4 linked regions of the Struthio camelus genome follow. The protein of the gene in region 3 purifies or fractionates together with the protein of the main gene of each other region. This does not show direct contact. Links are inferred from orthologs where the notes say so. Each region holds a gene or a part of one and is shown on either strand. Other genes may lie near its edges.

Region 1 (7,787 bases), on a different chromosome or scaffold from region 3:
AAGTCTGAGTTGGTAGCAACTTACTGTTTTACTTTTCAGCAATGAAGTGCATCTGGTTTTGCACAAAAGTTCTTTTCCCATTTATCTTCAGCTAGTCAATATTAAATAAGAGTTGTTGTCAATGTCTGAAAATAAACATAGCCATTTAAGTTTCAAAAACTCCTTTTTTACAGCAATTATTATCTTGGTTATGAGCCAGTGCTTCGTGTTTCCGAATTCTCCATTCTGAGCTTTTATTAAAATAGTGCAACTAAGAAGATGTCCTGTACAGAGCCCCTAAGAAATCCAAGTAAAAAGTAAGTACTTTCCTCTCCCCCCTGACAGGACTGTAACAATTATTGGATTGTCATATGAAAATTATAGTACTTTCATTCGTAGGATCTTGTTTTGATGATTTCTTAAGGAGAAACATTTTGATACTGAAACAGGCTGAAGCAGCTTCTCACAAAAGCTCATATCAACACCATCAAATTTACACATAAAGGAAAGAAATAGCTCTTAAACTTTTCATTAAGGTAATCAGCACTAGGTTAAAAGTGGTTCTCCACAGATAAAACCCCTCATAAAAATTCCTTAATGCTTCTGAAACTATGTAAATGCATTTGTAAGGTCTATGACAAATTATCTCCCTATATGTATATGGATGGTAACTACAGTAATCTAACATGCAGTAAGGATTTATGTATTATAATGCATTATTTTTTCAAAATGATATGTCTGCGTGTCTGTAATGTTTTATATCCAGTGCTTTGGAACCATCTAATTTTTTGTCACTCTCATGGGAAATACAATGATTATGTTATTAATTTTATAAACTATAATGTTATCCACTTTGATTTAGGAAAAAGTTAGCTTAGATGCTAAATGTCAAACTCAAATTCAGTCGCAACTGAAAATCTTAACTGCAGACTCTCCCCGTACTGCTAAATAACCATGCCAACCTTGTCAGGAAAAATCATAACTTAAAACAGACATAGACAGCTTATGCTGGACTGTTTCATGTTTGCTGTGCTTATGCAGTAGGTCCAACAAACCTCAACAAATCAAACATACTGCCAAGCCATTTAGCACCAATTCTGAGTTATGCCATTTCAAAGATAAGTTGATTTTTAAAAAAGCAAAACATTTTTTAAAAAGCTAATTTCCTTTTCACTGGGATCTGAAGAGGCAAACGCTATGCTTGTCAGAGGGAAATACAGAATATGTAATACAAAGATATATGTCTTCAAAACAGTTATATTTTGCTTGGTTCACTTAGAAGATATATTGCATAGTTACTAGATCACTCCAAAAACCAATTTTTCAAATAAAAGATTAACCTGAATAGCATGCACATAGCTTCACACGTCAGCTTCATGATGATGCAAGACTACCATTTTATGTATTTAATATGTATTATTTTTCTTCTGAGAGACAAGGTATCAACGTACAACACTTCAAGAATGTACTTAGATGTTAATTGAGCTTTACCTAAACTTTAAATAACGTATTTTTCTCCATACGAGGGAGTAGCCCCAAACCATTCGTATTTCTCCACAATTACAATGTGGCTCATGCCTTTTTTCTTGCATGTTTAACATTTTGCCATATAATGGCATATGTTTTCTTTTAATCTTTATAATAACCTAGTCAGCAAAATGCATTTTGAATAATTAGTGGGTTTGGATAGAGTGGAAGGAAGTGTTTGTTGATACTATATAATAAAGTGTACATTTAACTATCATCCTTAACGTCTTAATGAATATTCACCCTTTAAGGTCTGTGAACCTGGAAGGCTTCAGTTACATAACAAACTTCTATAGGATTTTTACAAAAGCCTTTATTATTTATAATGAAAAGATCTTGTGAGTCTTGCTACCAAGGTTTATAGGATAATTCAGCAGACTACAGATTGGGCAAATCTTTCTATCTTGTTTGCTAAACCATTATAAAATGTCTTTGGGGAAAAATGAGTCGTCATAATGCTGCTAGAAGACAATAACTTACTAGCTCTGAAAAAATCTTAGTCTGCTTGCCTCACAAGATAGCAGAAAATGTCTCTTGAAAATTTGATTTTGCTTACTGATATTACATTTTATGCATTTTAAAGTGTATTGTTAGCTGTATTGTTCGATCTTTGTAATTGATGTTCACAAAGCATGCTTTTTAAAGGCAGAGAAGAGTCAAGAAAAGCAATAATATCAATTTTCTATATGACTCCATTAGAAACACTAAAAGTAGCAGTAGAATTTTATGATAAAGGGGGATAGAAACTTAGAGGGTGAGTTCAGGAAGCTGAACAATGCATAGTGTTACTTTGGAGGAGCAGTTTTTTGAAGGAGTGATGTACTGATGATAAAAGAACTCTAATGAGAGGAGGTGGGAGTAATGAAAAATTTACACTACTTTGTGTCTACTTTCATTGTCAGCAATTCTTTGTCATGCCTGGTTTATTTTTAAAAAGCATGTTACCTTTTTAATAATTGAAATACATAGCTATGAGTCACATTTTTTCACTGATTTTCTATATGTGTGTTTCTGTTGTGTAGAATGTGAAACTAGAAACGAGGAAAGCCATATTGGTCAAAGTGATTTTTGACAAAACTTCCTGCCACTGATACCACAAATTGAACTCTACTGATATTAAGAACAGTGAAAAATTTTTTTTATAGAAAGAGTATTGGGATCTTATTCACCATCTTACATAACTTGCTTAGAGCATATCTCATTGATACCGTGCTTAAAATATCAATGGCTTTTCTTTTCTTGAGCTCAAATATTAGTAACACTAGCAGAGTTTAATTGATTTAGATAAGAATATATAGGGCCAAATTTTCCCTCGCTAAATGTATGTGAGCAATCCACGTGACTCCAGTGGAGCTTTTCACATTGTGGGAAGTGCAAGGCTGGTTTATGTTTCCACTTCCGTCATTGATCTGCTCCATAATCTGTAGGAGGTCGCTTTACCTTTCTGTCTGTCTCTGCATTTAGCTTGCAGGCTTTTCTTGCTCTTGGGACTGACCTCAGTATATGTGGACAATATGTAGCACATTGCTTGTAATCAAAAAGATCAAAAATCCTTTCTCCAAAACAATTATGTATTAATCAAACCATAAACACTGCAACTTTAAAAAAAAAGTTGAGATGAGCATGTGCATTGATAGCACAACCAAGATTTCCTGCTGTGCAGCTCCAGGCACTAACTGATGCCGTCTCATCACGAGGTTGCTTTCTGCTTTGGAGAGGTTTCATCTTTCTGTTTAAACAAAGCCCATAGCGAATACAGCACACGCAGTTGGCGTTTCAAACAGAAATCTTTTAAAGATCATTTAGAGAGAGGAAGGGTAATAGGAGTGCGTGTGCTTATTCTGCAGATTGGTGAAAAAAATCTTGTAAACAACTGTGGAAGAAAATAGTTACTCAAACTGACATCGGAAGCTCAGAACTTCTAAAATAATAGGTGTGTATCTCTCCAGAGATCAAGCCTCAGGTCAGCAGAGAGTCTTACCTCTGTGGGAGTAGTTGTGTATGTTTCCTTTTTCAACTAAATTATAGTCAACATAACAGAAGAAATTCTTTCCTCTAGGTATTTTGCTGATACCCCATTGGATTGCCTGAAATAAGCAGGCCCTGCAAAGCTACCTTGTTTTTTTGGTAGCTTTGACAAAGTATCTCTGGAAGCAGGCATTGACACGTGGAGGATAATTTAGGAGAACAGTTTAGGTTGCTGAATGCTGAGAGTGGATATTCTAAATCAGCAAATTAAAAATTAATTTTTTTTTTTTTAAAAGAAGCCTTACTAGGTTAGATTAGAAAGGAACAAAGCAATGACAGATCCCATTGAGCAAAATCTAAAATATGACTTATAAAGTCCTTCCTTTTTTTTTTTATTTTCCTAAAGTCCACCTTTATCTACTTTTCACCTACTTGTACTATAAAACACATCAAGATATACTATAAAAATGGGATCATATTTCTTGCACCATTTTTATTGTTTGCCTTTACAAAAACAAATGTATGTCAACTTCTATTTCTACAGATAATATACCAAGTTCTATGTTAAGTTTTGACTGTTGTATATTAAAACAGTACAACCGTATTAAAACATCATGTAAGTCAGTAACATGTTTGAGAATGCAGAGTATTAGCACAATGGCATTTGTTTCATTATTGCTTTCAGTCTGTCGGCTTTGTTGGCTTTCCCTTTTGTGTGTGGATGTATATAATCCAATTTATTGGGAAGATTGCTTTAGAAAGATCATGAGGTATTGCTTTTGACCCTGTTTGGAGGGAACAATCAATAATTATTTTGTTTCATTTGACTGCTGCTAGATATAGCTTGCATAACCACACTTGTCATCAATGCAAGTGAAGTTTATTTCTTTTGAGTTTATCGTCAGTCTTAAAAGTTGCTACAAATTGCCATTTAAAAAAGAGAAAAAGTAAGCATTGCCTTGATAGGTGAATTAGTCCCTGTGACGCAGAGGGTTTCAGAGGAGATTAAGGAGGCAGAGACACTCGTCTCAGGCTGTTTGATTTTCTGCTACTAACTAAAAAAAAAAAAAAAAAGAAAGAAATTGTTCTGTGTGTATCATTTGTGCTGCTGAATTGAAAACCTCCAGTTTTGGATCATTTTGGATACTTTGTCATTGTCTTTTCTGCTGTACTGAAGAATGTCCTTACTCTCACCAGGAGATGAAGATGAACCAGAGCGTTTTGATGGTCTCTCTCTCTTATACTGGTATGCTGAGCCATTAGGTTCTGATGAGATTTCCTTGGTCTGTAATTTGGGAAAGTACAGTAAAGATATTTTAAAAGCTGTAGCCATTTACAGATTATGTTTTATTTTTGTAAGCAACCAGGGTTTATCATTTATACTGTTGTAGAAGTGTCAAATCATATGGATTTTGCGATGGAAGGCTGTTTTTCTTCCACTGATAAAGGCAGCTAAGTATTTCATTTGTGGACTAGTGCCTGGTAATTTTTGAGGGATATAGATCAATAGAGTATCCGGAGCCTCATGTTCTGATAAGTCTCTAGAAGGTGTATAATAGAAAGCTGCTGAACTTACTTTTTTCTATTACTTTTTTTTTTAAACATGTAAGTACCAAAGATTTCATTTTAACTGGCTTTACTAGAGCCTCTACGTAAAAATATGAATACTTGGTCTATTAACATTCCAGGGCTTCAGCTGAAGTGTTAAGTTTAATATTTGTTTGAATAATTTCAGTGTAATAAAGCTATAGCACACATTTTGTGTAATCTTGTTTCTTTTTATCTCTTTTCTCACTCCTTTTTTTTTCTGTGTGCTAAAAGTTAGTTGACAAGTATTTTTGTATGACTTCTGTAGGAATGAATGAATTGATTGTTTACATCTTTTTCTACAAAGAACACTAAAATTATTTTTGCTATCACTGCCAATTAGTTTAGATGCCCGTTTCCTTCTATATATTGTTGAGTATGTTTCTAATGTTTGGGGGAAGTATCTAACAATTCATGTTATGATTATTCAATAATCGTGAATTATATGCTGAATGGGAGCTAAATCCAAGTCCTTGTGTAGTGAAAGTCCTTGTGTAACTGTTAAAGCACTGTTTATTTTAGTACAACGATGACAGGTAACATGTCTTGAGGATCTGTCTCTATGTCATTTGAGAGAACACTGAAAGTCAGCAAGATGTAATATCCTAAATTAGTTTAGGCATTTGAAAGTACTTGTCTTTAGTTTTTATGTTAGGAAATAATTTTAAGCCTCATACATTAGGGGGACTTAGTCTTTAGAGCATAAACACTATTGTATACCTTGTAACAGAGTCTGTTCAAAGTGTCAGTCCTATCTAATGTTAATTGTAGATGGCAACATCATGATGATTTCCCTGTTTTGAAGATACCTTTTTCTTCTCCATTATACATTATTAGTTCATCCTGTCTTTGTGTATGCTCTGTATGACTTTGTCAGTATGGATTTTAAGTAAGTTAGGGTCTCTCTTGTGACGGTATTGACTGTTTGCTTCTAGAAACATAGATTCTTTCTTACTGTAAGTGTTCTGTACCCATGTTTGATTGTATTTTATCATCATTTTACATGGTAAGAGATAAATAGGTTCTACTGTTTCTTATGAACTCTGTATTTATTTGAAATACTGGAGACTTAAAATCTGAGATTTGATCTTTTAAAATTTCATGAAAGTAAACTTCCTTGCAAAGCTGAAATACAAAGTTTGTTCTTGCTTTTCTTTTATTCACTAATTTTAAAAAGTTAAGGTAATCCTATTAATATTAATATTCAATATTTCTTTTTAATTCTGATGTTGATAAACTAAGATTTTTCTGTTCAGATAACTGCTGTTCAGTAGTACTACCCTTCAGCCTTCACTAATATTAGCATCAAAAGATCAGGAGAAAGTAAAGATGTTCTTGATGGACTAGTATAGTCATAATAGTTACTTGAGGAAAATCCAGTTAAGTTGAGAACCCTACTGTTATTGAAAGGTTGACATATCAAAAAGTAAGTAACAGTTGTTTGTGATACTGACACTTGCAATGCATAAAGAAATGTCTGCCACATGAAAGCTGCTGAGAGCATGGCAGAACATAAAACAGAACAATAGTAGCAAAAGGCAAGGTGGGAAAAAGTAGAAAGAATAATTATCTGCTTGTTTTAAAGATCAATGCTCTTTATCTTCTCAGTTTTCAAAGGTGGTTACAGAACAAGGACAGACCTGTAATGGTGATTAGTATATTGTTTGTCGTCTTCAAAACAATTTAGAATCATGGAATAATTTAGGTGACAGTACTAGGTAGTAATGCAAAATAGTATGCTGCTGTAGTGTACAAGTAATTTATCAAAAGTTTTATGTTAGAAAACATTGTTTTTTGTTTTATTTCTTTTAGAGTGTGATTAAGTAAATCACTTTGGTTCACTTTGCACCTTACAAGGGGAGTCTTATGCTGTGTCATGCAGTAGCAAGGTCATTTGCAATCTTAGCAGTGTCAAAATATGGTTCAAATTAGGTTTCATCATTTCTTTTTTAGCCTATAGAACAAATACTGAGAGAAATACTGCAGTGAAAAGTCTACAACATTTGAAGCAGGGGCTTCCTTTTTGTTTTTAAAGATGGATTATTAGGTCCATTCTTTTGGCTGGCTTTCCTAAAATAAAAGCTGAATTTTGCAAATCCCTGGAATTTGAGGTTGTGGAACAAATAGGTGGGTGGGTTGTTTGTTTGTTTGTTTGTTTGTTTTTCCCCCCAGAGCAAATGCAAGGATCCCTTGATAAAGTTTTCATCTGATTTTGTTATACAAAAAAGGAGGAATGTGGAAAGTTCTGTAGGCATTGCATCTCTTGCCTGGTGCTGGAATTTAGGAACATTTGGACCTTCTGGATTTCTCTTTCCTTTGTCCTGATAAGGACATTACTGCAGCTTTTATAGAAATAACCAGTTGCAGGCTTGGAGTTCAAGCTGTGTGCTGGATTTGGTTGTGTGAAAGGATTTAGGTCACTGTGTCCTCCACTTTGATCTTCTCTTTTTTTTTCCCCCCGTTAATGAAATCTGATTGTACCATTTCACTTCCTCATACTCTAGAAAATGCAGGTCACCAGCTAATACAGAACAAGACGTAGGTCGCAGCAGAAAAATTTTAGCAGTGTTTCTGGTTTTTTGTACAACGGGTCTAGTGCAAAAGCTGAACTGTGGAAAGACAGAGGATATATGATATAATTTGGATTTTTTGTAATAACTCATCTGAATGAAAATACAAAATGATAAAAGACTAATCTGGATTTATAGGAATTCTTAACGCTTTAT
Region 2 (8,080 bases), on a different chromosome or scaffold from region 3:
TCCTTGCTGCCCCCTGGGTTGCCTGCCACGGGGTGGTTGTTGCCTGGCTGCGTGGATGGCCCAGTGCTGGTGACAGGGTGGGAGTTGCAGGCCTAGCCCTCTGCTCCTGGGGTGGGGGCCACCCTCCTGCCTGGTGTGGTGTGGCTCTGCCTGACCTTGCTCCTCCCATTGCAGATGAACGGGGCTGTGCCTTCTGCGGTGGCCTGGGCCATCGCATCACTGACTGCCCCAAGCTGGAGGCGATGCAGACGAAGCAAGTCAGCAACATCGGCCGCAAAGACTACCTGGCTCACAGCTCCATGGACTTCTAGCCTGGGGATGCTGCTGCCCAGTGCTGCCTCCACCGAGGCTGGGAGAGAGGGCCGAGCTTTGACTCTCTTTGGGCAAACAGCGCTGTCCCCCCTGCAGCTGCCCTCATTTCCCAAAGCCCAGACCAGCCCGGACTGCAGGCCTGTCCTGCACCGCTGTGGCTCCTTTTCAAAGCATTTGGGCACTGGGGACTGTTGCCCGCTCAGCCTGCTGAAGCTCCTGCTCTAGGAGGAAATGTGAGGAGCTGTGCTGCAACAGCCCATTACATCAGCGGCATGTTGATGTGAAGCATTGGGCAAGCGGGTAGTGGTGCCTGTGGGGTGGCTGCTCTGTGGCCAGCTGTCTGCAGCCCCTACTCAGCTTCCCCGTGGTGGCATGGCTGGGGTCTGGCATTGCTCTCCTCCAAAGCCCCTGGATTCCTCTGGGACTGTTCCCCCGCAGCTCGTGTTGTGCACTCTCAGCTGGTGGCTGCCTCCTTTCTGCTGTGCTCTGACCAGGGCAGTTTCTGTTACCCGCAACTGTGCCCTGATGCAGCCAGGGCAGGGCAGAGCATGCTGTGCTCATGTCAGGCAGGCCCCTAGGAGCTTCCTTTGCTCTTGCTGCATGTGTTCTGCCCCACTGCCCTCCTGTGAGGGGGAGGGAGGATGGACACCTCCTGTGGCCCAGCCTGCCCCTCATCCCACACAGCAAAAAGGGGAAGTCGCTGAGAAAAGGAAGTCTGCCCCATTTAGTTGCTTCAGCTGCAGCAGTCACACTTCTCTGCTGCTGATGGTCTGAGTCCCAGATCCTTGCACTGGCTGCCAGGGCAGTGCTGTGCCCATGGAGAGACCTGTGAAGGATGGGATCCTCTATGTGCAACACAGCAAATTTGGAAAGGTAAAAGGTGGAGGGTGGGTTTGGGGTGGGTTGTAGAGCTCTGTCTTGCCCTGTTCTGCCTTGATGCTAGACCCTGGGGGAGGCCCTGACCGGATGGGGAATACTGGGTCCTCCACAGCTTCGGCAGGGGAACGACAGAGCCAGACCCCTTGGGTAGGGCAGAGAGGGCCCTGGCCTCTGTAGCTGTAACGGAGTGGGGCAAGGTGGCTCTCCCCACAGCTGAGGGGACTCCCCCGAGCAGGCCTCTGCTCACACTGACCCCCATGTACAGGGTCTGTCCCCTTGCCTGATCGCCACGCGATTCGCGATGAAACAATAAACGTGTGTTAATGACGCATAGCTCCGGTGCTTGTGTGCAAGTGGGGCAGCAGGGGTGGGAGCCCCTTGCAGCTCCTGGGGGTGGTGGGACCACACATAGGAAGTTGCTGTGCGCCAAGCCTTCGAAGAGCCTGACCGTGGGGGGCAGTGCTGTGGGAAAAGCCAGCCGCAGGGCTGGACTCGCTGCCCAGCTGCTCGGTGTGCTGAGCCCTTGGGGATGGGCACTGAGTGCCAAAACCCTCTGGGCACGTTATGGGTTATGTTACTGGAGTCCTGGTAGGAGCTGTGAGATGGTGCTTACAAGGCAGGTCCCACCACTTCGCTGACCGTGCCCAGCAGCATCCCCGCTGCTTCAGCGGGGTGGCTCTGCCCCTTCCTAGAGCCCGTGGGGTGCAGTCAACCCTCCGTGTGCTCAGTGGACGTGCTGGGCCACGGCTGTGCCTTCGATACTCTCACGGAGCTGCTCTAGTCTCCCTGCCTGCGAGAGCTGAGTCCTAGAGCTGAAGTGGGCAGACCCCTATGTGAGCAGAGGCCGATGCCCTGCCATGTAGGACGCAGGTGGGCTTACGGTGGCGGGTATTTTGGGTGCTCGGCTGCGCGTAGGTTCACTGGGGTGGAGGCCATGTTGTGCTCTTGAGGTGTGTGGGGGGGAAGCGCCCTCTCTATCCCATGACAGGCTGGGAAGGTGCTGGTACCACAGAGCGTCCCCTGGGAGGAAGCGGGTTGCTAGCTGCAGGGACTAACTGTACTTGGTAGGTGTGAGCTGCCTGCAGGAGCCCAAGCAGCTCAAAATGGCTTTAATTTGCATCATGGTCTGTCCTGAAAACAGCTCAAGAGGCTCAGCTGCAGCAGCAGCAGGCTAGCACTTGCAGCAGGGAGCAGAGGGCAGGATGCCTGGGTTCCCTTCCCAGCCGAGGGCGAGCGTGACTCACCAGGCGAGCGGAGCCGACCTCGCTGGAGGGCCAGGCTGGCCACCTCGCTGACCTGGCGGCTGGCAGCCCTGGCTTTGGGGCTGGCCTGGCCTGCGGGTGCTGGGGGACCTGAGAAGGCCCTGCTTGCTGTGTCCTCCCCCAGCACGCGCAGTGTGCCCAGCCCCGCCAGGGGTGCGGGAAGGGCATTGCGTGTGCCCGGCGTGCCCTGTCCTGCCAAGCATGGGCTGGAGCCCTTACTGTGCTGGCTGACGCGATAAGGAGGGCAGTGCCGGTGAAGATGCAGCAGGCAGTTGTTTGCTGACCTTTTGTTCCCCTTGTCTGTGCCCTTCCTGCACCCCAGAGGTTCTGGAGGAAGATGCGAGCGCAGCTCTTTGCTGCCAGCCCGTCCGGCGTGGCCCGGATGGAGAAGTTTGATGTGCGGGATGACGGCACGGTGCTGGAGAAGTCCTCCCTGCGGAGGTGCGCCCGCCGGGTGATCCGCCTCTCGGACTGCGTCTCCGTGGGGCCCGTCAGCACTGACAGCTGCCCCAAAGCCACCGCTGCCTTCTACCTCAACACCACGGAGAAGAGCTATGTGCTGGCGGCCGAGCAGCGGGACGAGTGGATCTCTCAGCTCTGCCAGCTGGCTTTCCAGGTACCGCGTCTTTGGGGTGAGCGGGGCCACGAGCAGTGGGGTGGGCAGGCTGCACAGCTGGGACCCCCCTCACCCTGCTCCTGGTTTGGGTGAGCCAGGGGGGCTCCCTCCCTTGGTCCCTGGCCATCACCTTGGGGTGGAGGGTGTTGCTGGGGCATGGGGCCAGGATGCAGCAGGAGAAGGGATGAGTCCCCTTGGGGGGACTAGTCGGGGGTGGTTTTGAAGGCAGGCCCCTACTGGGAGAGTTTCCACTGCACGTGTGCAGCAGGGAGAGGTGCTACAGCCCTGCTTGCAGGCCCTCGCGCTGCCCCATCTCTGCCCGCGCCTTGTGCCACCGCGGCATGTTCGGAGCAGCCCCAGGGCCGAGCTGCAGGACGAGGGTGCCCGGGGCGGGGGCCGCTCTCACATCCCTCTGTTTCAGGGTGCAAAGGAGGTGCCACAGAGCAGCGCCAGGACCCAGCCCGGCTCCGACGTCCACATGGAGGAGAACTCCCTCTACTCCTCGTGGCAGGACCGTACGTGCCATGGGCTGGGTGGCGGAGGGGGCTGGGGCGGGCAGCAGCTCAGCGTGGCAGGGCTGATCCCGGTGCCGTTCTGCTCCCGCAGTGACAGAGTTCCTGGTGCTGGTGCTCAGGACGGACGCAGCCGCCCGCTGCGGCCTGCACGGGCACTACCTGCTCGCAGCTCTCCCCCAGAGCCTGACGCTGAAGGACCCGCAGTCCCGCCAGCCCCTGCTCACCTGGCCCTACTCCTTCCTCCGCAAGTTTGGCCAGGACCAGGTAGGTGGTGCCCCGCTCCCTGACTTCCCTAGGGCAGGTGAGGTGGGCGCCAGCCCCTCACCCTGCCCTCCGACCTCGCAGACAGTCTTCTCCTTCGAGGCCGGCCGCCGCAGCGACTCTGGCGAGGGCACCTTCACCTTCAGCACCCCGCGGGCCCCGGAGCTCTGCCGGGCCGTGGCCACCGCCATCGCCTGCCAGCAGCAGGACAAGGATGCCCCGGAGACCCGGATCCCCATCCCGGGCACCGAGCCCCAGCCCCGGGGACCCGCCTCTGAGGAACCGCAGCCTGGGCCAGCCGCAGGGAGGGTGCAGCCCAGCTCCCAGCCCAGTTCCCAGCCTGCCCTGGGCCTCCTCCGCTTCCCAACCTCGGAGCCCGATGGCACCGGCCCCATCATCTACGCCTCCATCGCCCGGGGCCAGCAGCCCCTCTTCGGGCTGGGGCAGCCTGGCCCCAGCGAGCCCTGGGCCGCGGGGAAGCCGGCCGCCGAGCACCTCTATGAGAACATCTTTGCGGCGCAGCTGGGGCGCACAGAGGAGGAGGAGGAGGAGCACGAGGAAGGGCAGTGGGAGCTGGGGTGCCGGCAGGCCCCCGAGGGCCACAGCGGCGAGGCAGGCCCCATCTACGACAACCGGGAGGCGGTGGCGGCGGCGTGGGGCGGCCCGCAGCCCCCCGGCCCCCCGGAGCAGCGCTGGGGTCCGGCGGGGCGCTGTGCCCACGAGGAGCCCCCGGGGCGCCCCGGGCCCAAGCCGCAGGGCAACCTCAAGGCCAAGCTCGTCCGGCTGCTGAGCAGGGAGGCTCCTGCCGCCGGGCAGCGGGACTGGCTGTGAGCCGGGCCGGCCGGGCCTTGGCGATACGGTGAATAAAGAGGCTGCGCTCGAGCCGGCTCCGTCCTTGCTCGCGGGTGGGAGGGGGCGCCCGCGCTGCGCCTGCGGCGCCCGCATCTCGCCGTCAGGGGGCGCCGTCGTGCGCGCCCCGGCGCGGCGGGCGGTCGGCGAGCTGATTGGCCGAGCCGGCCGCCGGCACCGCCCACCCCACCCCCGGCCGTACTTAAAGGCGGGCCGGGCCGGGCGGGGGCGGTGCCCCGAGTTCGAGTCCCGCGTCCGGCTGCTCCGCTCCGCTCCGCTCCGCTCCGCTCCGCTCGGTCCGTTCGGCCCCGCTCCGCTCCGCCGGGGCGGCCCGGCGCGGCCCGGCCGCAGGTGAGCGCGGGGCGGGACCGGGGCTGCCAGGGGGCCCGGGCCTGGGCGCGGGGGCGGCTCATCCGGCTGGGGGCCCGCATGGGGCCGGGTAGGGGCCTGTGTGCGAGGAAGGCAGGCAGAGTGCTCCGGCAGGGCCCGTGTGGGGCAGCGCTGGGGCTCGGGGCCCGCCCCGACGGGGTGCCGCGGGTTTGGAGGGGGGGCCCGAGCTGTGGGAAAGGGGGCCAGTCCGGCCTGCGCAGGGGGCTGTGTGGGGCGGGGAGGGGGGCCCCGGGTCGGGGTCAGGGAGGCTGGCTGGCCCCGTCTGGACAAGGGGCCCGTGTGGGGCAGGGCTGGGGAACGGGGGGGGGGGGTCGTGTGGGGCAGGGGTAGAGAGCAGGGGGGCCCGTATAGGGCAGGGTAGGGGGGCAGGGGTAGGGAGTGGGGGGGGCCTGTGTGGGGCAGGGCTGGGGGCCCAGCCTGGCTGCCCATCAGGAGTGGGTGCCCCAGGGCCACCCAGGTGCCTTGCGCCAGCCCCATGGGACGTGGCCGTAACCCCTCGCGGAGGGGCTGTGTGGGCCCACCCCATCCCTCCAGATCACTTCTCTGCCCCCCACCAGCACCCTGCCCCAGGGCTGCCGGAGACCCCTGGCTGCTGGGGCCCCCCCAGCCCTGACCTGGGCGTGTGGGGCGCTGCCGGCCGCCTTGGGGCAGACCGCCACGGTCCCGGCCCCGAAGGACACCGCGCCTTGCCCCGGTTTGTGCGGCTGCTCGGTGCTGGGGAATGTCTGACACGCAGCCTTCACCCAGCCTTCCCGAGCGGGGAGCACGCTGGTGTCATCTTACAAGCCTTATATAGCCCGCCCGGGCTTGGGGAGAGCGGGGGCTCGCCGGCCCCCGGCCCTTGCGCCTCCACTGCCTCCCGGCTAGGAGCCCGAGGTCCCCGGCCCTCGGGGCGCTGGGTTTGTCCCTTCCTTGCGGGGGCAGGAGGCAGGGTCTCGAAGGGGCCCCTCAAGATCTGGGAGGGCTCCTCTTGGCTGAGATGCGGCTGGGAGGCTGGGGCCGGCCCGTGTGCCCCCCGTGCCTTGGCCGGCTGACAGCTGTCAGCGCCGTCCCGGCTGGCGCGCAGGGAGAGGCAGGGATTCCCTCCTCGCTGAAGCCCCGGCTCTGCGCGCAGAGATGGGCTCGCCTCCCAGGTAGCATCTGTTTGGCCAGCTGCTGCAGCACGAGCCTGGCTGCGCTGCCAGTCCGCTTGGTTGGCATCGCGCAGCTACTGTGCCGCTGCTAATTCACCCAGCGAAAACGCCTCTGGTCTCCATCCTTCCACACCCGCTGTTGCTTCTCCGTGGTCTGAAACAGTTTTGGCTCTCAGTAGCGTGAGCTTCCAGGGCGCTGTTGTGCGTACTGCAAGGGAGAGCGTGCCCCAGGTTTGGGGCAGGGAGAGCAGAGCCCGTGAGTGCACTGAGCGTGGCAGTCAGCTGTGTCTGGCTCTTTTGTGCTAGTCAGCATTAGCCTGGGCTCCTCAGCCCTAGGAGATGCTGATGGATTTGGGGTGCGTCTCTAACTGCAGTGTGGGATAGTCGGGGTGGAGCCGGTCCTGGAAGCGTGACCTGTCTCCTCCTGCCCCATCCTGCCAGGTGCTGGGGCCCCGCTCGGCTGCTCTCCCTGCGTTGTTCCCGTGCAGCGTAACACCGGGATCGCACCCTCTTCCTTTGCAGAGATGGGCGATGTGGAGTCCTACAAGGTGATCCTGGATGGCCCCGCGCCCTGGGGGTTCAGACTGCAGGGAGGGAAGGATTTCAGCATGCCGCTCTCCATCTCCAGGGTAAGAGAAGCTGAGCCTCGGTAACGCCCATCCTGTTCCTACCTCTGCGGGTAGGAAACTGTGGCTGCTGGGACCAGGTGACTGAGGCGGCAGCTGTATGGGGACGTGGATGAGGTGGGACCCTTGGAGTGCTGGGTCCTGCTGTGGTCTCGCTCCGCTTAGCCTCTACTGCACCACCCCGTTGCCTTATCGGCCCTCGTCTGGCAGGGGACGTGCGTGCCGGGGGTGTTCCGGGCAAGAAGAGCAGCAGAAATTTGAAGTACTGCAAAGCCTCTGCAGAGTCATTCTGGCTGCTGGGGGAGGTAGGGGAGGCCTCTTCCGGAGCCTGTCCGGCAGCTGGGGGAGGGGAGCCGCTCTTCTAGCCTCCGCGCCGTGGGGCTGGCCTCCTGGTCCGGACTGTGACGCTGGGCCTGGCCTCCTGGGGTCTGGGCTCGTGCAGCGGGCTCAGCCCTTCTGTCCTCCCTCCTGCTGCTCGGCTTCCAGCTCCAGCCCGCGTCCGAGCTCCCTCTGGCCCTGGAACGGGCAGAGAGGGGAGGAAGCCCACGCTGCTGCCGGCGCTGGGACGGTGGCCCCCGGCCCGTTTCCCCAGCGCCGAACGTGTGCGTGTGAGAGGCTTTGTGCTGCTGGCTGCTCGCAGCCGAGGCTCTTCGCGCGAGCCGCCCCTGGTGCGACGCTCGCCTGGACCAGGTGTGGTCCCTGTCCCCTTGCACGGGCGCTAGCGGGTGGCTCTGGCCGCGCAATTGCCTTATAAGCCTTGGAATGCGTCTGTCGTCCGCGCTGCTGACGCTCCGGCAGCTGGCACGGGAGGCCGCGTCTCGAGCGAAGGCTTTGCTCGCGGGCGCCGAGCGCTGCCTGGGGGCCTGCTCCGTAGCACGAGCCAGGCTCTCCGCGGCTGTCCCGGTGGGCGCGGGTCCCTGCAGCGCCCCGGCAAGGAGCGCAAACCCTGGGGGCACCGTGCGAGGCTGGAGCCACCGGTGCCGTCCCCCCGAGGCCTGCCGATCTTTGCCGAGCTGAGGGCTCCGCGCTGAGACGGCTTCAGCGAGTTTATTCTCTAAAAAATGTTTCTCTTGGCTGCGAGCCAGCGCCTAACAAAGGGTCTGATCAGATGGAGGAGCCTCCGAGGGCCTGGGGCAGGGGCCTTGTGCAGCGACGGCCTGATGTGCGTGCAGGCCAGTGCTGTTGTGAGGGCTTGGGAAACGCTGCCTTCCCGGGCAGGGCAAGGCAGAGCGGCGTG
Region 3 (7,605 bases):
CCTAAATCCATGCTGACACACATAAATAAAGCTGATGATCATCAGAACTGAGGAGCAGCAAAAATGTCTACAAATCAGTAGTGTATGTTGACTCACAGGCATGCTGTTAAGTCACATTGGCTCAAGAAGAATTGAGGCACAGGCTAAAAGCTAAGCTTGTAAGAAGTTCCTTTGATGAATTGGATCCTTAAAGCTATAGCTTGAGAATTTCTGAAACTCAAGTTGCTTTTATTTGTTTCTGCAGTAGACTTGCTACCCTGTCATTCAGGCAGATGGTATACACGCATACATAATGTATCTATATCACAGGACAGCAAATTATGAACCTAGGTCTTCAGATTTCTCAAAACAGTGATCTCTTGAACAATAAATTTACTAGCTTTTAACAGAAGTTAATTTAGCTAATCTAGGATTAGGGTAATAAACCTAATAACTGTGCTAAATGATACGTTTAAAAATACCCTAATTGTTAATCTAAGAAAATGACAAAATATGATTCCATTTTGTCCTAAAATTCTGACTATTTTAGCTTGGATAGCAGTAACAGTTACATAGAGAGGAATATCGCTATTGAAAGTACACTTTGAGCACTTACAACTGTGGAATCAAAAGTTCACCATTACACTTGCAAATAATAAAAAGTTTATGATTTTATAACTCTTACTGAAGAAGATACTCAGTAAGTGCTCATCTACTCAGTAAGTCCTCAGGCAGAATATAACTTTTAAGCAAACTAGAATATTCAATGTAGCATAGTGTATTTGCACAGATAATCACCCAAGACTTTTTCTGGTCTACAAAACTGGGTGCTGGCTTACTTACGATAAGCTGTAGAGTACTATAACATGTTAGCTCATGCTTGGTGGCAACAGGTTTGTTTTCCAAGATTGTGTAATCCAAATTCCTTTTCTAAGAGATGATTCTGAAAAGCACTTTTAAATAAAATAATTAATGAGAACGCAAAATACTACAGAAGTAAACTTTTTCTCACTTGTGGTAAGCTTCAACCATTAGAAGTACCGATTTATAAAGAACAAATATGATTTTAGAAGTGGGAATTTCTGCTACTGCGGAGTAAGTTTTTGCTTACATTACAATGAGGTCAGTGTACCCAGCTGTAGCACATGACAGAGATTTTAGGAACACAGTTAGGGTCACATTTACAATACAAATTGGGGATGTGTTGCAACTACATTCTTTGATTTGATTGTAATGTAGATGACTGTAAGGCTAATTAAACATCATCTACTGTTCACAGAAGAAACCACCAGTTGTTGCTTAAGCACCGTTTAAAGACAGTTTTATTCAAAACAGGTTATGACATGGTTTTACCAACCAACAAGGACCGAGATTTTTCCATGCTATAACAAGACTCTAGAACTGCAGTAGCCTAGGTTTAAACATACTCAAAATATGCTTAATACAGGTCTTACTAGCAAGGTCCCAAGATACTTCAAAATTTACTGCATGTCTTCAGACAACACATTAAAAATCTGCTATATTTTCACCCAGATAAAGTCAGTACTCCTCTACTAATGTTAATCATTTGATCAACCTGAATGGTGTTGGGCTTTTATTTTCATAAAGTTTTTAAGACAATATTCAGGCTTGTCTAATCCATGATTTGGGAAAAAATCTTCAAATAACATCTAGCTCCTATGCAATGCTTTCATCTTTAAATCAAAAAGTATCTTATTAAGATCACTATCATTATCTCAGTTTTCAGAGAAGAAAACTAAGGCACAGAGATGCGCTGCTACTTGCCCAAGATATACCAAAGACCAGTAGCTAAGGCAACTGAGGTACAGTCCTATGTCAATCATTTAATTCTGATCTATGCTACTGTTCCATTGAGCATCTTAATGTAATAATCCTGATGGAGTTGCAGAAGCAACTAATATAAAAATTCATTCATACCAGAGCAGAGGGAATATTTTAGAGTTAAATTCCACAAATCATTATAGCAACTCATTAAAGTCTCTAAATAGTATTTAGAATTGCCACTTTTCAGCAAAAAAAAAAAGCTATACTATGACTCCCTAGTGGAACAGAAAGATAATGCATAAATCCAACCAATATATTACTGAAAGAACATTGAAGTTTTCCTGACAAATTTGAAGGGGCACAGAGGTTTGGAATCAGACCAATACTTTGGATCATTTTAACACCACATTTTTGAAATAGCCATAGGAACCTCTAATCCAACTTTAGTATGTTCTAAAATCACACCTCAAGAACCAGGTAGAAACTCTTGGCTTTAATCTCAGGGTGCTATAATCCTAGCAGCTCTCTGGGGAACAAAGATATATGTAAAGGTTCAAGGTTTCAACAGTCTCAGAAAGCGGAAGTACCACCAACACAGCCAATTTCTTCATGGAAGACACTGCAGTAACTGGCTATGATCTCTGTGAAGCTCTGTACTTCTAAAGCATCTACTACTACAATTTCTAAGAGTCTAATACGGATATTATTCGTTGCACTAAGGAATCTCATGAATAAGTAATTGTCTTCACTGTTCCTAACTTCACAAGCGTTCCTTGTTTGGATTGGTTTGAAATATATTTCATTTTGCAGATTTTGTTAAGCTTACTTTTTTGCAAAAGCTCTTGCTGACAAGTAATCGGTTTTTATTTCTTCTAGGGACAGTGCTGCGGGTAACAAATATATAGATTCTCCCCTCTAAAAACTTTATCTGTCAGCATGTTTATGCTTCTTCTTGCAACATTTTTTCATCTGCAGTTAAGGTCATTGAAGAAGTTTTCCTCAAACGCAGAGACCCCTAGGAAAGTAAAAGTGCCAGCTGCAAACCAGGGATTCAGCTGAAAGACTTAGGTTACCAACACACCACATTGAAGCATTTATGTGAAAGTCAATCTTCACTGTGCTAAAAAGCAAATCCTTACACCTCCCCCAGCGTCGACAGAATTTGACAGAAACCTAAAAACTTAAACCTTAGTTTAAAATGCATCTTACCCTCTCGTGTATCTTTGCACTCGCTATACGGAAATTGTTTTTTTGGGGGGGGTGGGGGGAGGGGACAAAGTTGGACTGTATAAACTCAGGGCACAGGAGCTGTGTGCTCTGTTTTATCATCTCATTCTGACCCCTTTATGTCACTTTCATATTGTGATTAAAAGCTCTGATCTATACGTGGGCAAGTATAATTCAAGTTAAAATCTTAAATGCTGTCACTTCTTAATGCCTCAGTGTAGCCATATGTAAAATGGGGATAATTACTTACTTCATTAAGGTGTGGTGTTTGTAAAATGTTTGAGTCTCGGATGAAAAGGACTTTCCTTGCAAAATGTAATTATAATAATATTATGCCAGAGGTAAGGCATAGGCCTGTGATTCCACATACAGTATTTAAATACAATTACTTATCTATCAAAATCAGGAATCTGCGCTACTTTTCCCTCTCTCAGCACCTGATCTTCTTACCATTATTAATCTGAGTAATCCTCACGGACTCCAATGCATCTGCTCACATAGTCCTTCAATAAGGTGTACAAGCGTACACTCAAAAACTAGTATCACGTCTCAATTATCACTATTTTTCTTGATTTTCCCCTGTTTGTAATATTCTTTAAGTTCTGGTCTCATAGTTTTAGAGGGATACCTCCCCTTGACTTTTCTGCAGGTGCCCACTGGCATCAGAAGCACTTGCACATGCTTTTTAGAATGTGCATAGTTTTAAATAAACTTAGTCTAGGGCAAAAATAGTTTCACAAATCAGCTATCAGCTGCAACACTGAAGAATAAGTACAAATCATTTCTAAGACTCGCATGCCCACTGGTCTCATCTGATCCATTTATCTTCTCTAGGTAGTCCCGGCCTTCCTGATGGTTCTCCCTATTTCCCGCAGCACCGCGTGCCCCATGCCCCTTCTCTTTCTCTCAGTCCTCAGAAGGGCCTTTCCGTATCTGCCAAGCACCATATGTCCTGGAAATTTCGTATAGTTGCCAACCACCACCTTTCAAAGCAACTTCAGGTTTTCTCCTGCTTGTTCTCCAGCAAGGCACCTGCAATGCTACAACTGCAGCATCCGGGTGTTGGTCCTGCACGCCTCCCACAGCAGCCCACCACGCAGCTGGACGAGGAGGGATGTCCACCTTTTAAGGAACGAGGATGACGCCACGAGCGAGAGGCCAAAGCAGCTGAAATGCCAAAAGCAGCAGAAAAGGGGGCTGAAGAAAGGGATGGCAGGAGCAGAAAAGATTGTTCTGATGCAGGCCCGAGAGAGATGAATTCTGGGGGGGCAAGAGGGAGGTAGTGGGGAGGTGGGTTGGCACCCGGCCAGCAGGGGCCAGCTGGGGGGGGGGCAGCAGGAGCCGCGAGCCCCTCTCTCCTCTACACCCCCCGCATTTCTGGGGGGTTCCCCCTGCCTCGGGCTACTCCCGCGCCTCCCTCCCCGCCTCGCCTGGCCCCCCACGGACCCGCCCGAGGCCGGGCCGGGCCGGGCCGACGGGCGCCCCGGGGGCGGGGAAGGGGAGGGCTGGCGGGCGGCTTCCCACCAGCGGGAAGGGAAGGGGACGGGACGGGACGGGAAGACTCTCCGGATCTGCCCCAAACTTGGCAGCTCTGCCCTCCTTGTGAGAGTTGCACCAGGCACCCGCCCGGATTGGCAGGAGCCTGTGCCCTCCTCTTCCTCCCTCTTTCTCCCTCCTCCTTTGGGTGGGTTTCATCCCTCCTCTTTCGCGAGCGGGGCGGCGGAGGGGGGAGTTAGTAAAAGAAGGGGGGGGGGGTGAAAAAAAAAAAAAGAAAAGAAAGAAAGAAGAAGAAATCCCAAGTCAGGTCCCCGACGTCTCCGGGCCGGCGGCCGCAGCGGCCGCCCCACATTCCTGGCATTCCTGGGCCGTGACTCCCCGCGCCGCCCCGGCCCCGGCCCCGCCGCCGCCGCCGGCCCCTCGGGACACCAGTCCCCTCCCTCCCTCCTGCCCGCACCCGCGGGCGGCAGCAGGAGCCCAGGGCGCCCGGCCCCCCCCGCCGGCGGCCCCAGCCCCCGGCCGGCCGCCCGCCCGCCGAAACTCCCCGCCGTGGCCGGGCCGGGCGGCGGCAGCGGCTCCCGCCAGCGGCACCGGCACCGGCACCGGCCCGCCGCGCTCCTCCGCCTCGGTGCCGTCGGCGGCCGCCTCCCGGGCCGAGAGCCGCCTCCGGCGGGCCCGCGCGGAGCCGGGGCCGGGGTCGGGGCCGGCCGCGCTCCCCCGGCCCGGCGGCCGCGCAGCAGGTAAGGAGCGGCGGCCGCCGCGGAGTTTGCTCGAGTCTGCCCGGCCCGTCCCCGTGTCGGACGTGTCCCGGCTGCTGCCGGCGACCGCGGGCTCGCGCTGACTTCGGAGCCGTCTCAGTAATGTCTTTTACGGTGTGTGTGCGGGTGTGCATGTGTGCGAGACAGGGAGGGAGGGAGGGAGAGGCGATATTTGCTTAAGGCTTGCTGTGCCTTATAGTGTGCAATTATAGCTCGGCGACGTATACATGACTGTTTGCAAAGTATGAGAATAGCTAAGCTTGGGTTATGCCTACCAATCGATGGCTTGTGATAAACACGGTTTGAACAGCCCTTCCAGTTTATAAATTTAACCAGATAGGCTCCTAGATAACAGAGCATCTCCATAACCAGTAGGTGTTTGTAAATAGGCAGGAGCAGCCTGGGCTGTCGGCTGAGCTGCCCTTATTTACACTGCGGCGTGACTGTGTTTAGCTTTCCGCTCCCCCCTCGGATTTACCTTGTTCTTTGTTAGTTACAGTGAAGCCTGCCCTGGCCGTTTGTCTCCAGCAAACACTGTAACACCGAGTTACACCGAAGGAACTGCACCAAGGCCGGGAATAATGACATCTGCTCTCGTTTCTGATGTGGGCAAAGTCAATGAATTTTTAACATCCCAAACTGACTCTCTTTCCGGGAGTGTATTTGGTACTACAAGTATTACATAATGTATGTGTGGCATATGTGTATGATGTGTGCTGGAGCTTTCCTGTCGGGAGCACTTTATCTGTGATTTGCATGAAATAATCTTATGTTTCCATTAGAAGCTCTCTGTAACTTCTGACAAGGTGGAAACGAGCGGTGACTGGTAAAGGCTCTGATTGAATACATTGTTGTCCAAAAAGTTTTCTGAGATTTTTAGTATGTGGCCTGAAACAGTAGTTGAAAGAACTATTTTTACCAGAAACCATTTTTTTTCTTTAAAGTCTGTGTAGATATTTGCTGTTAGTTTTTTTTTTTAAACTAAAAACACTGTTATATGCTGAAATTATTTAGAGTTTGTAAAATCTATGTATAAAATGGCTCCCCCAAATCAGAGGTCAAAGCCACCTGCCAACCTCGGGACTATGGGAGAAGTTGGTAAGGACAGCTCTTTTGGGGGAGAAATGTGAAGGGCGGCAACCCCAGTGGGGGCTAGTGTCTAGTTATCTAGCTGCGAATGTCCTATCAAATATGAGTGACAAAATACAGATTACACAGCTTTTGCTCTTGCCCTCTGGGGGGTCTGTAGCTGACATCTAGTACTTGTTACATGGTGTAAAATAAAGCATGCGTTGATGTTATAGTTATGCAAATAAGCTTTAGGCCCTGATCTATTATTGGCAGTGCTTTCTTGAACTTCTCTTGGTTTCTTCAGAGAGGCTGTGCCAGAGGTGCTTACAGGCAGAGGGCACTTGTGTGTATCTAATGGGACATGATACAAAAGTTGGGGATTTTTTCAAACTTCTTGTTTGAAGCTGGGTCCATCAGCCGGAGGGTAGTCCGCTAAGTCTGTGGGAGAGCTTGCAGCCATCAGTTCTGCTGTGGTATTTGTGTGGGAAAAGCTTTAAAGTGCCATTGACTCCAAGCGATCTCGGAGGATCTAGTAGTGCAGATCAAGGCCTGCGTAAAGACTGCATGCAGCGTTGATCAAATCAGGATCTGCTGGGACTGAGCAAACTGAGCTTGTGTATGTACGTTATACTACAATTTTAGATGTGTCTTTTAAATGTTTTTGTAATTGTAGCAGAATTAGCTTTGGTGCAGTGTTGTTTATGAGGATCACTAGCAGCCAACGTTGTTACTATTAATGACTGATGAAGTACTTCTTTACCGGTCGTTCTTGTCCAGCAGATGCCTGGGCGTCAGTTATCATAGTTTAGGTATGGAGCAGTTTTCTATGAAACAAATCTGCTTGTGTGTACTTTTGCAAATTGTCTAGGCTGCCAGTGGCAAGTACAATCCTGGAGAAAGTACTCAATCTAAAAAGAGTTTCCTTCGTGCTTTTCAAAACTATACTATTTCCTTTTTCTATGTTTTTCTGGTGCCACGACAGTCAAAGGGGTGTAGAAGACCACTCTTTGTTCTATTTCTCCTCATATCCAGTGAGGCTGCATTAGATTACACGCTACTTAAGTGAAGTATATTGTTTTAATTTGGGTTTAAAGTTAACATTCATATAACATACGCGATGTGAAAAGTGCACTTGAAGTACAACTCCTGCGTTGGAAGCAAGTGCTTGTTTGTTGCAAGGTTTAGTTAGCTGAGGGTTTTTTATAAACTGCTGGTAATATGCAAGTTGTAAGAAGTTTTCGGCAGACATTGCTCCTTACTAGTGTATGTATAGATCTTAGTCCTGCAA
Region 4 (7,378 bases), on a different chromosome or scaffold from region 3:
GCACAAGACATTAAAAACCCCTTAAGAACGGAGCAGCACAAATAATTTCCACAGCACTCCTAAAACACACAAGCCAAGGCAAGTGTGAACTTCTCTAACATCAATGGGATTACTCTGATAAATGAAGTTGGCAAAATTGAGCCCTAAACTTGCAGCCGATGCTAGATTTTCTTCACAGCTGTACATAGGGAACTACCAAACCTACCCCATATAAGCAGTAACAAACACACATATTATCAGAATATTCTAGAAAAGCACATACGTTAAAAAGCAATTCACACACGTTTCTGGGAAGCTTTGAAATATGGCATTTTCAGCTGTCGGTGTATTTCTACACATGAACTTCTTAATCAATAACAAAGAGGTTCAAATTGTGCTCAAACACACCTGGGCACCCACAGGCATGAGGCTGACATCACATGGCACTAATCTCCACTAGATGACTTGTATATCTACTAAATCAAAGAGGATTAAAAAAAAATTTAAACTCAAAGTGTGAATTTTCTACATAATCGTTCTGAGACTGGTGTGTAAGAAGAAGGAAAATTGTCCATAAAAACATATGTATTCCACACTTGCTTTACCAAAGAAAGATTTCAGAAGCTTATGAACCATAATACTGCATGTGTATGTTACGAAAACTTTATGACTTCCATCAGAGAAAAAAGTTGAAAATAATGAAGTTAGAACATATTATCAACCTGGATAAGGTGTTCCCAAGTCTTTCTGTAGAATCTGTTATCTTCATTTTGACAGCTTAAGGTAAGTTTCAGAAACAGCATGAATCCAGATTTTATTGCACTGACTGACTTGGAAGATCACTCTTCAGTGATCAGAACATATATTCTCTACATACCTGGAAAACACAATGGGACCTAGAGCAAGGTCATCGCAGAACTTTCAAACAGTTTTATACACTTTCCCAAATCAGGCCATTGATATAAATACAGACTGCAAATACAACTACTGTAAACTGTACCCTAAACGGGCTTGTCAGTCTGCCTTCTGCGAAGGCAATTCTGCTCCACAGTTGAGCCATGTATAATAAATTAGGGCTTCTCTCAAGCAGGGAGTGCAAAATCTCTCCCGTTTGTTTTGTAGCATTAAGAAACCCTACTGACAAGGGTTAACAATTATTTCAAACACTACACTTTTCGAAAAAGGTCTTCAGTTCCTTAGTCCTCATTAAAGACAATCAAGTCTCAGGGCTTGCCTTCTCTTTCAAGTGTAATCAAGACATTAATGAAACAATATTTATCTTATCCTTCTAGGATGACAAACATACAATTGTTATTCACTTAGCTGTCTAGTCTACTAATGAGAGTAGACCCAAATTTTACTACAAAACAAAAAACACTCTTGAACATTTCAGTGTTACAGAACACAAAAAAGTATTCAAAATGAATGTGCTCATGAGGCTGTGTTATAATGGGTAGCTTGTAATTTTCACTTTTTGCTTTGCCTCAATTTTATACCTTCTGTAATCTGCTTTATACACAAATTAAGAGATGTCTAAAATTAGACAAGATTTTCAATATGCTACTTTAGAGGCAGCAAAAAAAATAGGACTTTTTATTGTCACAGGTAACATTTATACACACACTCAAGTACCTCTGTCCATTACCACCACTAATATTTACAAGTTGTTTAAATTCCTTTGTATTTTAAAATATGTTAAGTAATATGTTTACCAGTATTATCCGAACTGGCTGCTACAATAAGCGTGACAGAGAAGTAGGCCTGATACAGCGTATGCTGTTGGTCTAAGTTGCATAGGGAAAGTTTTGGAGTCAGCAAGCTTCATCACAACTACCTTTTCTCGTTTCTGCGGAGGAATACGAACCAAGGCCTTCATTCATAGCTCAGCATAGCTTGTTCTATAAGTTTATCACGTCTCTTAAAAGTTTTTGCTAACTCGGCCGTAGCGTTTTCCCACAACAGGATCTCAGAGCAGCACGAAGTTTTGCTGGCGAAGGCTGTAAACACCCGGGGCTGAGAGGGCTGGGACGTGCCGAGGCCTAGCCGGCACACGCGGCCTCCTGCCGCCTCGGCTGCGCCGCGCCGCCCCGCACCGTCCCGCCGGCAGCCGCGGAAGCGCCCGCGCCCCGCTCCGCTCCGCGCCCGCCAACCTCGGTACCTGCGGGGCGCTCGGGCCGCCGCCAGCGCCCCCGCGAGCTTTTGTCCCGGCCCCCACCCCGCCGCCGCCAGCCTCGCCCAAGGCCCCCGCGCCCGCGTTACCTCCGCGCCGAGGTAACGGCCGCCCGGCCGCGGCGCCGCCCCGCGCCCACCCCCCGGCCTGCCCGGCCCTGCCCGGCCCGGCTCGGCCCTGCCCCGCCGGCCCCGCGCACCCACCTGTCCCGGGGGTCGATCCAGCTCGTCTGCTTGGTGTTGTGGTCGATGTAGAAGACTTTGCCGTCGTAATCCCTCGCCTCCTCCCAGCCATCGGGTAAGGGGAGCTGCCCATTCCCCGCTTTCCTAGGCATGGTCGGGCGGCGGGGGTAGCTGCTCCATAGGGACAGAAAGAAAGACGGGAAGCGGGAAAGGCCCCCGCCCGGGCCGGGGAGGGGGGGGGGCGGCGAGGGGGTCGGCAGCCTAGGCCGAGCCGGGGGCGGGGGGGGAGGAGAGAAGGAGGGGGCGCAGCGAAGCCTCTCGCAGCAGCTCGGCAAAGCCCGCTCGGCGGCCGGGCTTCAGTCCACCATGTCGGGGCCGCCGGGTCAGGGCTGCCGGCGGAGCCCAGCTGCTGTCTGGGCGCGGGGAGCCCGGCTGAGCCCCGGGCGGCCGCGGCCGCCGCTCATTAGCATGAGATTAGCATCCATCTCATCTGCATGCACATTCCTCCCGCCGCATTCCTCAGGGTTAACCCTGCCGCCGCCGCCGGGCCCCGGGCAGGAGGGGGAGCGCGCCGGACCGGCGGCAGGGAGCTTCCCCCCCGCCCCGCTACCAAACCAGCCCGCTCTCCTCCGCCTTCCGAGCGGGAAGGGCCGGGAGCTGGCCTTGTCCCCCCCGCCCCCGGCAGCGGCTCGGACAGCAAAAAGAGGGGCAGTGACCACCTGAGGGGGGCGCGGCGGCCGCCGCTGGGGCGGACAACGGCCTCGTGGGCCGCGCCGCCAACGGCCGCTAACGGCCCGCGCCCGTTCGGCTGGGCTGGGCTGGGCTGGGCTGGGCTGCGGGGCGCTTAAGCAATCCGGTCATGTCGGCAAAGCTGTTGCGTGCGGCCCGGCCGAGGGGGCCGAGCACGCGGGCTCGTGTGCCGGTGCCGCGGCGGTAAAGACGCCGGGAGGGCGGCGGGTGCCTTTGTTCGGGGCCCGGCAGCCCCCGTCTCGCATCAGGTTGCGCCGGCGGCTTTAGCTGAGGCGTTTGCTGGCCCCGGAGGGCAGGAGCGCTGAGCGCGTTCGCAATACGAAACACTCGCCGCTACAGACCCTTCTGCCGTTATCCTAGTGCCTTGGGTCGGGGCGTTCCCGAAAGACTTTTCTTTCCCTTCCATTCAGATCTAGGAGAAGATACGACTTTTCACAAACCTTGCCTCGCATCCTTGCATAGTCGCTTCAGTGACTTGTAAACGTCAATAAGCTAGCTCAAGGGTAACATTCATAAAAAGGACCTTGACATTTACAATATCTAAGTTCAAAATTTAAAAGAAAAGGTAGCCTCTCTCCCTTAACCCTGGAAGCACTTAAACTTACTAGGTGGTTTTTTTTTTTTTTTTTTTGTTAAAGCAGAAACACCAGTGAGAAATACACATATACTCTTGTTTGTGCCCAGAACCACTCTGGCCCAAACAGCCAGCACCTAAGTTGCATTAAGTATAGAAACTGGGTGTGAATTACTGCACGTTCCTCTCACATGTGCCACAGGAGAAGAGCACTTGTGGCTGGTTACCATGGTTCAGCTGATATACGGTAACTTAATGAGCTCTATTAATTTGCATGTGTATCTGATTCCCAAGATCTGGCACCAGAAGTAGAGCACCCATGGTGGAATATGAGTCTAGTTTAGCAGCTAGGACTCTTAGGTAACCCAGGTTTTATTCCCTGTTTCCTAAAATGTCTTATTTCTTTTCATTTAACAGTTACTGGATTAAAATAATAACAAAATTACCCTGGGAGAAGAGGTCTGCGACTCAAAGCTGTCCCCTTTTTCCTTTTTTTTTTTTTTCCTTCAATCTGTTTAACTGTTCTGCTATAGCTATCTTTAGCATTCAGATTTTTGAATTGTTTTCCTGAGACAATTTACAGCTCTTAAGTACTGGACTTGTGCAGTGCACAACAGGGTTTTGGATTCTACTTCAGAGGCCAAATACCTGAAAGTTATTAAGCCCTGAAGTAACTGCAGATATTGAAGTCCCATTACTCCTGGATCTGCTCCTAAATAGAAAAAAAAATAACAACAAGAAATCACTTTAATTTAGCTAATTACCAATCTGGGAAAGTTAAGACCTTTCTTATTTTAGTCATTCCAATTATTTTATTCTGTTTTACTAATCTGCTTTTCTGTCTCTCCAAATGGCTTCTATGGCTCCCAAAAACACCTGTGTGTTGAGCTCCAAACTATCTTAAAGATTTTATTTTCACATCTATTGTTGTAAGGTAACCTGCAGTGAAACTATAGACGTGAAGTAAGACCCTGCTGGTTAACAGTGCAGAAAACCTGAGCCATCCTAACCGGAGTGGATCTCCGTAAGGATTCACCCACTTACAGAAAGCAACAGGATCAGGGCCTGTTAAAGCAACAAACTCTTTATTTTCACTGAGTATTAAGTTTCAGTGAGCTAATTTGTTTATAAAGTCCAGTCTTGTTATCCTTTGGTGTGAAGAAGCACTTTCGCCATTCACTTGTATTTGTGTCTTTTTCAGTAGTCTACTCTAATTTTATTATCTTGTTTTATAGGTGACATCCTCCAGTGACAAAGTGACAAAGCACATTTGCAAGTATGGGACAACATAAGCTGGATACGCTTTTCCCTTTTAAAGCTCAGTTTGCTTTATCCATAAGACTAAGATTTCAGGTTAGATAAGTTGAAAAAATTATAGAGGATGTTCTTGTCTTTGGAAACTAGCTGCCAGTTTCTTATCTTCAGCACTAACAAGTAGTTTTTATAATGATGTAGTCTTTCTTAATTCTAAAAAGCAGGCTTGTTCTGCAGCACCAGTATACTCCTACTTTAAACAATCCACACGACAGAAAGCATGTGCTAAGAAAAATCTACAGTACCAAGCCAAAACTGAAACCTCATTTACATCATTATTTCCCCTGAAGTTAATTATGACTCCTGAGGCAATACCTAATTTCTGTCCTATGACACACCGTAGCTGAGAGAGCCACATCTTGGTTTATTGGTCAGATAAGATCTACGTCCATCTGATTTATAACCATCTTTCTAGGTAAAACTTCTTGTCAGAAAATATCACAGTTTTCATTTGCACAAGGAGATAGGAATGTCAGTTTTTATTTTTTTGAAATAAATATACTAAGATCATTGCATCATTGCCTAATTTCTATGTGTACGCTTGTGTCTGTGTATAAACCAGTGCGCTTACACTTCAATATAAATTGTTCTATGGTATGTGTTAGGTTTTCTTCCCACCCTCCCTCCTCCCCTGCCACATACACTTTTTACTGTTGTTTGAATACCTCATTGTATTTGTGTTTACAGTTAAGAGTCTACAGTCCAGAATGCCCATTTAGGACTACTTAGGAATGCCAATATTTGAAGTCAGACTGACAAAGTAGGTAATATATGTGTAAATGAGATGTTGGACACTTAATATTACTAATGAGAACCTTTAGCTTCTAAAGGACAGTTATTATTCCAGATAACAATCTAATCATCACCTTTTTTTCTCTTTTGCAATTTGGACAAGTAGGAAATAATTTCTTCCACTATCCTTTACTATTCTTTGATATGTCTAATACAGGAAGGCAGAGCAGATGTTCATAATCATCCTTTTCGGCTTAAAATACACCATGAATGCTAGCTAAAAGTCGCTTTGCAAGTATACCTCCTACATCTCAACTAATAACCTGCCTAGCTGACATTGACAGCATACCACAGATTGTTTGGCTTAATTGCGTAAGACGGTATAGTTCAAAAGATGTATGCATGCTTATTTGAAATGCGGAAGGATGCATATGAAGGAGTTGTCTAAAATACGGAACGATCTAGCTATGGCTTGACTCAAGCCTTACCTAGGACTTACCAGTAAGTATGATAAATAACAATGATATTCTCAATAAAAGGGAGCCAATTGTTCTTCTGTTTTGCTCTATATATGCATGTTTAGCAGGTTTGAAGAAGTTCATGTTACAAATAGTATCTAGTTAAAGGACTGAATTAAATGGGAATTAGAATCATAAATGTTTAGTGTCCTTTCAACTTGCTGTTATGAGCTAGAAGGAGGAAAAAAGTGTCTGTGAAAATTCTGAACACAAGTATGGAAGTTGCTGAATTCAGAAAGGGGAGACTGCAAAGCCAAATGGTTGTGGCCCTGTCATATAACTGGAAGCGTGCTCTGCTCCAGCCTGTGTTAGTGTAGTTAATCTCCTGACGCTCCCTGCTTACCTCTTGTTTCACAGTAGATCTGTTCGTGGGACTGACTGCGGTTACAAAAAAAAAAAAAAAAGTTTGTATCTTTTCCTGCCATAACAAGAGGCTCCCTTAACTTGATGATCCAATGGAGTGATGTCCCTGAAGAAATTTACAGCAGTTACAACTGCTGTAACTTGTAATATCAACAAATGGCTCTGAATCAAGAGTCAAAGTGGTCTCCCTGAAAATCCACATAGTCCCTCTCCACTGCTTTCAAACAGAATTTAAGTGGAGTGGAGAACGAGTTATGAAATATCCCGATAGAAATGTATCTCTAAAAACGTCTGACAAAATGTTTGAAGATGTATATTGGTTATTTTGTTATTTTTTTAGACACCTCAAACACCATGTAGTTACTGTAGAACTCTAAAAAACTCAGTGTTTTCTACACTATAAATACTTGTTTATTCATTTTAAAAGAGTGAATTTTATCTAAGACAGCCATGTCTTCAAAATCAAACATTTGAACTCCTCTCTGCCAGATTTTTTGTTTTTAAAAAAGGTTGAAAAAATCCTGTAAAGAAAAACAGTGTACTTGGAGTAGGGAGGAAAGGAGGAGGAGTGCTACTTTCAGTAGTGTCAGCTTCTGATGCATGTATACATCCGAGAGTAAAGGATCTTTGAATAATATTGTTTCTGGCTGAAATTATGATGAAGCTTTGGAGAAGCAATGGGGCCAGAGAACAGCTTTGATAATGTTTATGCTCATTCAGCTTTTCTCTTTACTCCAAAGCCTGTTCTTTCTACTGATATTCAATTGGACAGCTTGCAGCTAAAATAGGTAGTCCT

Evidence for each region.
Region 1: the proteins of PTPN14 (region 3) and STXBP4 purify together in Homo sapiens (affinity purification with mass spectrometry; 3 studies listed by BioGRID and IntAct, counting the BioPlex papers as one, with this or other methods). This does not show direct contact. The link is inferred for Struthio camelus from reciprocal best matches to the Homo sapiens genes PTPN14 and STXBP4.
Region 2: the proteins of PTPN14 (region 3) and PDLIM7 purify together in Homo sapiens (affinity purification with mass spectrometry; 3 studies listed by BioGRID and IntAct, counting the BioPlex papers as one, with this or other methods). This does not show direct contact. The link is inferred for Struthio camelus from reciprocal best matches to the Homo sapiens genes PTPN14 and PDLIM7.
Region 4: the proteins of PTPN14 (region 3) and WWC2 purify together in Homo sapiens (affinity purification with mass spectrometry, with the first as the bait; 3 studies listed by BioGRID). This does not show direct contact. The link is inferred for Struthio camelus from reciprocal best matches to the Homo sapiens genes PTPN14 and WWC2.

The regions. Positions count from the first base shown.
Region 1 is NC_090960.1:6,090,868-6,098,654, reverse strand, and holds the start of STXBP4 (syntaxin-binding protein 4), read left to right. Parts: upstream 1-4,652; coding exon 4,653-4,720; intron 4,721-7,787. UniProt on the Homo sapiens protein: Plays a role in the translocation of transport vesicles from the cytoplasm to the plasma membrane. Inhibits the translocation of SLC2A4 from intracellular vesicles to the plasma membrane by STX4A binding and preventing the interaction between STX4A and VAMP2.
Region 2 is NC_090954.1:9,774,463-9,782,542, reverse strand, and holds the start of PDLIM7 (PDZ and LIM domain protein 7), read left to right. Parts: upstream 1-4,927; 5' UTR 4,928-5,045; intron 5,046-6,658; exon of another isoform or gene 6,659-6,739; 5' UTR 6,740-6,741; coding exon 6,742-6,846; intron 6,847-8,080. Other genes in the region: probable ATP-dependent RNA helicase DDX41, read left to right, coding at 175-311; DOK3 (docking protein 3), read left to right, coding at 1,129-1,185, 2,776-3,069, 3,491-3,584, 3,676-3,848, 3,930-4,676. UniProt on the Homo sapiens protein: May function as a scaffold on which the coordinated assembly of proteins can occur. May play a role as an adapter that, via its PDZ domain, localizes LIM-binding proteins to actin filaments of both skeletal muscle and nonmuscle tissues.
Region 3 is NC_090944.1:115,141,559-115,149,163, reverse strand, and holds the start of PTPN14 (tyrosine-protein phosphatase non-receptor type 14), read left to right. Parts: upstream 1-4,493; 5' UTR 4,494-4,675; intron 4,676-5,192; exon of another isoform or gene 5,193-5,228; intron 5,229-6,713; exon of another isoform or gene 6,714-6,933; intron 6,934-7,605. UniProt on the Homo sapiens protein: Protein tyrosine phosphatase which may play a role in the regulation of lymphangiogenesis, cell-cell adhesion, cell-matrix adhesion, cell migration, cell growth and also regulates TGF-beta gene expression, thereby modulating epithelial-mesenchymal transition.
Region 4 is NC_090945.1:50,518,113-50,525,490, reverse strand, and holds the start of WWC2 (protein WWC2), read right to left. Parts: upstream 3,057-7,378; 5' UTR 2,484-3,056; coding exon 2,353-2,483; exon of another isoform or gene 2,332-2,352; intron 1-2,331. UniProt on the Homo sapiens protein: Regulator of the Hippo signaling pathway, also known as the Salvador-Warts-Hippo (SWH) pathway.